2 linked regions of the Elephas maximus indicus genome follow. The protein of the gene in region 1 interacts with the protein of each later gene in a pairwise test. Links are inferred from orthologs where the notes say so. Each region holds a gene or a part of one and is shown on either strand. Other genes may lie near its edges. The genes, in order: UBASH3B and DOC2A.

Region 1 (3,904 bases):
TTGATGGCCTGGGGCAGGGGAAGCAAATGTGGCTATCACTTGTTTTATAACGCAATTCACTTAGTCATCTTTACTGAGAAGTGGCAGGTCGGTCTTTCATAAGGTATTCACTGCCTCATGAAAATAGGCCCATTCCATCCTGAACACCTCTTGATGGAATGCCAGTGCCCTTTCTCTGTTCCTTCTAGTCCTCGCACCCCCTGGTGCCCCCACCCTCCTTCCACTTCCTCCCTCACCTCCCTCTTCCTCCTTTCCTCTTACCCTTCCTTTTCTCCTTTCCACCCCCTCTTCTCCCTGGTCCCCCCTCTCCCTTCTGGAACCTGAGATCCCACTCTTTCCACTGAAGTAACTGTCCCAAGTCGCTGACCATGTACAAGGTTTTCGGTCTAGTCACTGAACAGGCTGACCCGAACCCGGCCCCCAACAGGGTTTTTTTTTTTTTGCAAAATCTTTCAGAAGCAAAGCTTTTTATCATCAGGCCCTTATGGCTCGGCCTTCTGATCCACTAATGTCATCCTTCGGTCCGCTGGATTTCCATTATTAACCCCATCTAGAACCACATGAAACTTGAAACAAGTTATCTGCTGTTTTGAGGCCCAGCTGGGCTAAATGCAAGCCAAGAAAAGGGCTGGGGCTTGGCGGGGGGGGGGGGGGGGGGGGTGGCTCTCAGGCGCCCACGCCCCCAGAGCCTTCGCAGGTTGGGATCCCCCGCCTAGTCGGCCTCCGGGACTACAGCTCCAGCCCCGCCCGAGCCGCCACCGGCAGCGCGGCCGCTTTAAGAGAGGGGCGGGGCCCCGGCACAGGCAAGGCCGGGCCAGCCCACCCGGCTGCTTTTCCTTTTTGATCCATTCAAAAATTACTCATTGCAAATTCCCGGACTGCTCCGAGCAGAGAAGGAAGGGGGCGGAGGAGCGAAGGTTACTGCCGGCGCCGCGCGGGGGCACTGGGGCCGGAGCAGCTGCCAGCTGGTCCCGCAGAAGCAGCTCAGCGGCGGCTCTGGCTCCGGTGGCCTCACCAGGAAGCGGCAGCGCCTCGACACTGGGCTAGCCCGGAGCCGTCGCCGCCGCCACCACCAACACCCGCCCGGCTTTCGGTCTCCAAGCCCCCTACGGTCCTCACTCCCCACGCCCCGGCCCGGCGCCTCCCGGAGATGGCTGGCCGCTGAGCCTTGGCTCGGTACAGCAGCCCCAGCGCCCTCGGCATGGCCGCGCGAGAGGAACTGTACAGCAAAGTCACCCCCCGGCGGCACCGCCAGCAGCGCCCAGGCACCATCAAGCATGGATCGGCGCTGGACCTGCTCCTCTCCATGGGCTTCCCCAGAGCCCGCGCGTGAGTGACCGTGCGTCAGCCCCCGCGACCTTCGCGACTCGCCCGCCTGCCCCTCGGCTTCGCTCCGGCTCGCCTCCCCGCGCCTGCTGACAGGCGGCGCGCGTCCTGTGCCCACAACCTGTTGGGGGCAGGATGGGCGCGCCGGCTGCCTGGGACTCGGCTCCTCCGGGCGGGGCTCAAGGGGCAGACGCCGCGCGGGAGCTTGCCTTTGGATGCTTAAGTCTGTGGGGCCAGGGCACGTGGTTCCAGCCCCGGGTACCGTGCCCTGCGCCCTGCGCCCGGCTTCCGCGGGACAGGACTAAGCCGTTCTCCAGCGCGCTCCCTGAGGTCCCCGTCGCCGAGCCCCTGGGGAGGCGGGACCCGACAGAGGCATCCTTTCAATCCTGAACGTTTTGCTGGCAGGGGATCCTCTGGTGGCTGGGAAAGGACAAGGGACTGTGGGGCAAGGAGGCCGGCGCCCCTACTGCGGTGGCTTCCAGCTCCGGATGTCGCTCGCTGGTTCAGTTTCCCTCCGGAGTAGGAGGAGCGGGAGCGTGGGTGTTGCTGCGTGTTCATTGATTGGGAGGGTGGAATGAGAAGGAGAAGCGATTCCTCCAGGGGACATGGGTTCTCGTCAATGGTGACGGCAGCGCAGAAATCTGTGGGTGCCTGAGAGTAAGGAGGGGGAGCTGTCCTCTTTCATTTTTCTTTCCTTTGGAGGGTGGGGTAGGGCAGGGCAGAGATGGGGGCAGGTGGCTGTCCCTGCAGCCTGCTGGGCAGAGGCCTGGTTGCCAGCACAGGGAGCAGCCGCAGAATTCTTTCCCTGGTCAACTCCAGTCTGTGGGCTGGAAGCCTGCCTAAGAGCAAGCTACGGTCCCTTGGCCAGGCCATTCTCTCCCTGGTCCCTGTCTCTAAACAGCGTGCAGATTTCTTGGGTTTCTTAGGAAGGGACTTTAAAAACAAGACAAAACACGGCCACGGAGTCGATTCCAAGTCATAGTGAATCCCTAAGACAGGGTAGAACTGCCCCCATAGAGTTTCTGAGGCTGTAGCAACCCTATAAGACAGAGCAGAAATGCTCCATAGGGTTTCCAAGGCTATAAATCTCTTATGGAAGCAGACCACCACGTCTTTCTTCCACAGAGAGGCTGGTGGGTTTGAACGTCCAACCTTTCAGTTAGTAGCCAGGTTAGTAGCCAAGTGCTTTTAACCACTGGGCCACCAGGGCTCAGTGGGGATGTAGATGTCTGGAATCCTGTGGGGCTCTGCCTCTTTGAATTATATCACCTGAATGGGAGAGTTGGACATACTTTATCAGAAAGGGAAGGGCCAAGTTAATAAAAGTTGATTGATTGATTGATTGCTCTCTTCCCAGGGGATAATGCTGGATCTTTTTTCCTCTGCCCCTGAGCAAAGCTTGTTTACTCTTTTCTTTCCTATTTTGGCTCTTAATCACAGCAGACCCCTGAATGTGTCGTTCCATCCGGTCTACTGAGACAGGTTGGAACGGCCTTGGAAGGCCATGAGATGTAATGATTTCTGTCTCCTACTGACTTCTGAGTTCCAGGGCCAGATGCCAGAGTTCAAGGGGAAAGATGTGGAGGGCGCATCTGTTGTGCATCCTGCGAGTGAGGCCCTCCATGTGGATGATCCGATGTGCGAGCCCTTTAAGATCTGGCGCTCCGAGCGGGGAAGTCTGCTGAACGCAGAATTAGTGTGGTCCCAGGCATCTGCCTTTTCTGAAAAGAGGCCAGCGTCGAGGAACTAAATCACTTAATTAAGGGAAGGACTACTTAACTGAACTCCTCAGATATGTTGCTATTTAAACTAGCTTGAAGGGAACATCTGTATTCCTGCACTGGATTCTGGCACCTTGTACGTATCCTGGCAGATTACTATGATGGTCTAATTTTGGCTCCCCCAATCCTGGAGATCTCATAACAGCCAGCATTTACTGAGTATTTTGCTATATATTGTTCCGAACACTTGACCATTTTATCCTCCCAACAACCCAGTGAGGAAGGTACCATATGCCCATCTTATGAATGGAGAAACTGAGACTTAGAGATTACTTGATTTGCTCAAGGTCACAACAGTAAGCAGTGAAACTGGGATTCAAACCCTGGCAGTGTGTGTGCATAGCTCAGGCCCCAGAGCCAGGATGTAAATGAGTTAACGCTCATAACATGCTTAGAACAGTGCCTGACACATAATGGTCAATTTTTAAGTGTTAGCTACTGTATTAGTTTCCTGTGGCTGCTGTGACAAGTTACACCACACTGGGTGGCTTATAAAATTCAGAACCCAGAAATAAATTAAGAAATTTCTTCTCTCACAGTTTGGGAGTCTAGAAGTTCAAAATCAGTATTGCTGAGCCAAAATAAAAGTGTTAGCAGAGCTGTGCTCACTCCAAAGGCTTTAGGGGAGAATCTATTCATTGCCCCTTCTAGCTTCTGGAGGCTGCTGCCATTCCTTGACTTGGGGCTGCAACACTCCGGTCTCTGTCTCCATGGTTATATTGCCTTCTCTTCTGTCTATGTCAAATTTCCCTCTCTTATAAGGATACATGCGATTGCATTAATGGCCTACCTGGACA
Region 2 (3,904 bases), on another chromosome or scaffold:
AATATGTCAGTTCTTTTCAGGCCTCATCCTCTCTCGTCTGGAATCTGTGCCAACCTTTCTGGTGTCTGCCTCTGTCCTCCCTTCCAATCTACCTCCACGCCACATCGCCACCTCCATCACCACCAACACGATCGCTAAGACACAGCACTGACCATGCCCCTTCCCTGCTGCAAACCTCGCATGGCTCCTTATTGCCCAGATAGGGTGAACCAAGGGGTGAGGTCCCAGCCTACGCCTGCTGGGGTTCTGCCGCCTTCACTGGCCTGAGGAGATGCTCCCCACGGCTCTACCTCCTTGGGTGATGGAGGAAGCTCTCTGCCCCCGGAGACTTCACTCCTTAGAGATTTCAGGGGGCTGCAGGGAGCAGGATGGGCAGCTGCAGAGGTCTGCCTTAAGTCAGCGCTCTGAGAAGGGGTCTTCATGACCAGAGAGGAGACCGAGCTTGAGCTGACCCTCACATGATGCATGCAAGTTCAGCTGGCATGGAGGGGAGGGTGGCGCTTTCTAGGCAGAAGACACAAAGGTCAGGAGTAAGGCAACTGGCCGGTGGGAAGGGGGCAGCCCTGTGTCAGAGGAGCAGTAATTCCAGGGAAACCTTTTGGCCTGCTGCCAAAGGGAATAGGAGACATTGAATGTTCTCACGCAACAAAGAGGTAGGGGCTGAACGAGAGGTAGGGAGACGACCCACCAAAGAGGGTTACAGTGTCAACTGGCTTGGGAACAGGGAGGATGGAGCCCTCACCTGAGCACCTTGTGGGTGATGTCGTCGTCTGTGATCCCACGGTATGTCAGGTCCTCGTTCCACACGGGATTCAGTGTGTTCCTCTGAGTCTTGGTTTTGAGCTTATTGGCCTGGGTTGTGGAGACGAAGGGCTCTAAATCCCTGTTCCCAGATGGCCAGAGGCTGAAGGCAGGAGCTGCAGGGGTCTAGGACAGACCCAAAGGCTGGGCCATGCTGGAGGACGGAGGAGGCCCTTACCTTGCAGGCTCCAGGCAGTAGGTGCAGCTTGACATAGGGATCGGCCAGGCCATTAAAATCCATGGGCTTGAGGCCCTGGGGAGGAGGGGTGGAAAGAGGACTGTGGGTGTCAGCCCCTCCCTCCCTCTGCAGAGCTGGGTTCTTGAGGTGTGGACAGCCAGGAAGGGGGCGGGGAAGGAAAGGGTAGGGGTCACGACTGGGGAAGGGAAGGAAGGATGGAAACCCACCCTTGCTAGGGCTTGGGGAGCAGGGAGTGCCCACCTTGGCCCTGAGGATGCTACAGTGCAGCGTGCAGGAGGCCTGGTCGTAAAGAAGGTCAAACTCCAACATGCCTAAGGCAGCTGGAGAAGAGGGGAAAGATGTGAGTCAGTGTGTCAAGACAGGTGTGTGAGACGTACCAGGTGGGCAGGTGTGATGGCTGTGAAGGTATATTCATGTGTCTATCAGCCCAGGAGCATGTGTGCAAGAAAATGAGTGGGCATGTTTGTGTGTGTGTGTCTGTCCGTCTGGGTCCCTGCCTCGGCCACAACTAGGGCTGTGTGGGTGGCTGAGTGTCTCAGCAGAAATATTTAATATTGAGCCATGCTGAGACATTAATCTCCACACTGCCGCCGTGGAAGCAGTGGCCGCCGCCTCCCCACCGCCCTGCACATGCACCCCACAGGGCCCAATCCTCTCCCCACAAGCCTGGAGGCCCCCATTAGCACCCTGGGCTCTTTAAGCCCCCAAACTCACTCGTATCATCAGAGTCATAGCTGTCCACCTCAGCTCCATCCTCGGGAGTGGTAGCCCCAAGGAGGGCCACAGGGGGGGCCAGGGCCAGGGGGGCCAGACCAGCAGGGGCCTCCCGGAAGCCTCCACCACCCCCTTCGGGTCCTGGTCCCCGCCGGGGGAAGTAGTCTGAGATCTGGCGGATAGGCCGGATGGGCCCAGGGCACACATTGATGGCCATGTGCTCCTGGATGTTGATGGTCATGCGGTCACCCCTGCGGCCCCTCATGCAGCACCCCTGCTGGGGGAGTGGGAAGACAACATGAGCCCAGGGCTGATTCCTCATACCTGCCGTCTGCTGCTGAGGCAGCCCTGTCCACCTGGAGGGCCCTCACTGGCCTCCTTTCCTGGGTGTCCAGGGATAGGGTGGCCTCTGCCAGCTGGTGGGCAGGCAAGAGGCCTGGGCCCTCCAGATCTCAAGCCTTGCCCCACAGGGGCTGGGCTGCCACCCCACTAACCCCCAGAATAAATCCTGGTTCCACCTCAGTTTTGCTCACTTACTTCTAAATTGTCCCTTTGTCCATCTTCCCAGTTCCTGCCCCTCATTCTGGGCTTCTGTCTGGCCTGGGTCCTGCCCTCCCAATAAGCGGCCCCATAGGCCCCCTTCTCTCTCCTTGGAGGCTCCGTCCAGCCCTCTGCACCAGGCCCACCCCTCTCGACTCTCACGGCTCACTGTCTCTCCGTTCAACCCCAGGATGTGCCTGCCTGCCTGCCTGCCTGGTCGCTCCCTTCAGCCAAGGTGGGGACCCCTGCCTCAGATGCTTCCCCTTGAGCTTGGCTCCCCAGGAAGCCAGAAATCACAGCCGATAGAGAGCGGAACACCCCCGCAGACACACACAGGCTAACACACACACTCACCCTCACCCTCAAGCCCCCGCCAGCCCAGCCCCCTGCACCTGTCTCTGTGCGTCCAACAGGTGCCCGAGCACTGGGGAGGCCCGCGGGTGCAGGCTGGGCGGTGGCGGCCGGCGCTTTCCAGGGCGGCCAACGAGAAGAAGAGCGCGAGTCCGGCTGCGTGAGCCGAGAGGGAGGGAGACCAGAAGAAAGTGCGGGGAGGAGGGGGTGAGCGAGGTGGAGGGAGGATGCAGCAGGCGCAGGCGGCGGGGGGTGGGGAGGGACGGCCGGCGGCCGGGGAGGGGGCGGGCCTCTCCACCCCGCCTGGGCAGCCCGCCCGCCCGGGTACACTGAGGAGCGCACACGAGCGCACCACATTCATGAGCACGCAGGCTGGCACACACATGTGCACATGGGCCGGCACACACATCTTGCATGGACACTCCCGCGCACACACGCCTATGCCCACGTGCGCACGCTCAACACACATGCACAAACCCAGACACGCACTGGCACACTCACCCGGAGAACTTCGCAGACACACAGTCGCAAACACACGGGCTCCCTGCGCCACCAAGAACCAACAGTGAGAATTGCCTGGTGTTTCCCAACTCCTCCCAGGAGACCCCGGCCCTCGCGCTAAGCCCATCCTGCCTCCCTCCCTCGCTTCTTCCTTCCGTCGCTCGCGGGTCTCCCGGACCAGACCACCCGCCTAGTTGCCTTGGCGACGCCGGCTCCTCCCCCCCATCCCGTGCATTCTCACGCCCCTCCCCCGCAGAGAGAGCAAGGAGGAGGAAAGAGGGCCTCTGGGCCTCCCCCGCCCTATCCGTAGGGGCGGGGCTGTGGGCGGAGCTTGAAGATCCGCAGTGACTTGGGGTGCGCAGAGGAAGGGGGTCCGATCTACCTGCTGTCCCTGGCCTAGAACCTTTGCTCACACAGGCTTCTTTCCTTGAGGATACCTTCCCTTCTTTCAGAGGTCAGTCCGGGTCACCTCTTCCCAGGCGCTTTCCTGGAGTATCTGTCCCCTGCTCCTCATCTTCCGGTGCTATCTCAGACTCTGCTGACAGTTTTGTGGATCCTGTTTACATCTCTGTCTCCGCCACCAGCCAGAGAGCTCCACAGCGTGCAGAGGCTGATTCATTCATCTGAGTCCCCAGTGCCCCAAACGGCCTGGCACAGTCAACATCACTAAGTCTTTGTGCTTTAAAAGTTAGAGAAAAACCAAACTACACTGAGATGCCATTTGTCACCTATCAAATGGGCAAAAGTCAAGGTATCAGTTAACACGGTGTTGACAAGGGTGAGCATAAATGGGCACTC

The links.
Region 2: the proteins of UBASH3B (region 1) and DOC2A interact in binary tests that used the Homo sapiens proteins (3 or more experiments, as listed by UniProt). The link is inferred for Elephas maximus indicus from reciprocal best matches to the Homo sapiens genes UBASH3B and DOC2A.

What each region holds. Positions count from the first base shown.
Region 1 is NC_064835.1:15,667,389-15,671,292, forward strand, and holds the start of UBASH3B (ubiquitin-associated and SH3 domain-containing protein B), read left to right. Parts: upstream 1-815; 5' UTR 816-1,201; coding exon 1,202-1,329; intron 1,330-3,904. UniProt on the Homo sapiens protein: Interferes with CBL-mediated down-regulation and degradation of receptor-type tyrosine kinases. Promotes accumulation of activated target receptors, such as T-cell receptors and EGFR, on the cell surface.
Region 2 is NC_064830.1:89,198,535-89,202,438, reverse strand, and holds the start of DOC2A (double C2-like domain-containing protein alpha), read right to left. Parts: upstream 2,435-3,904; 5' UTR 2,297-2,434; coding exon 2,252-2,296; intron 1,992-2,251; coding exon 1,715-1,991; intron 1,321-1,714; coding exon 1,241-1,320; intron 1,055-1,240; coding exon 980-1,054; intron 853-979; coding exon 743-852; intron 1-742. UniProt on the Homo sapiens protein: Calcium sensor which most probably regulates fusion of vesicles with membranes. Binds calcium and phospholipids. May be involved in calcium dependent neurotransmitter release through the interaction with UNC13A.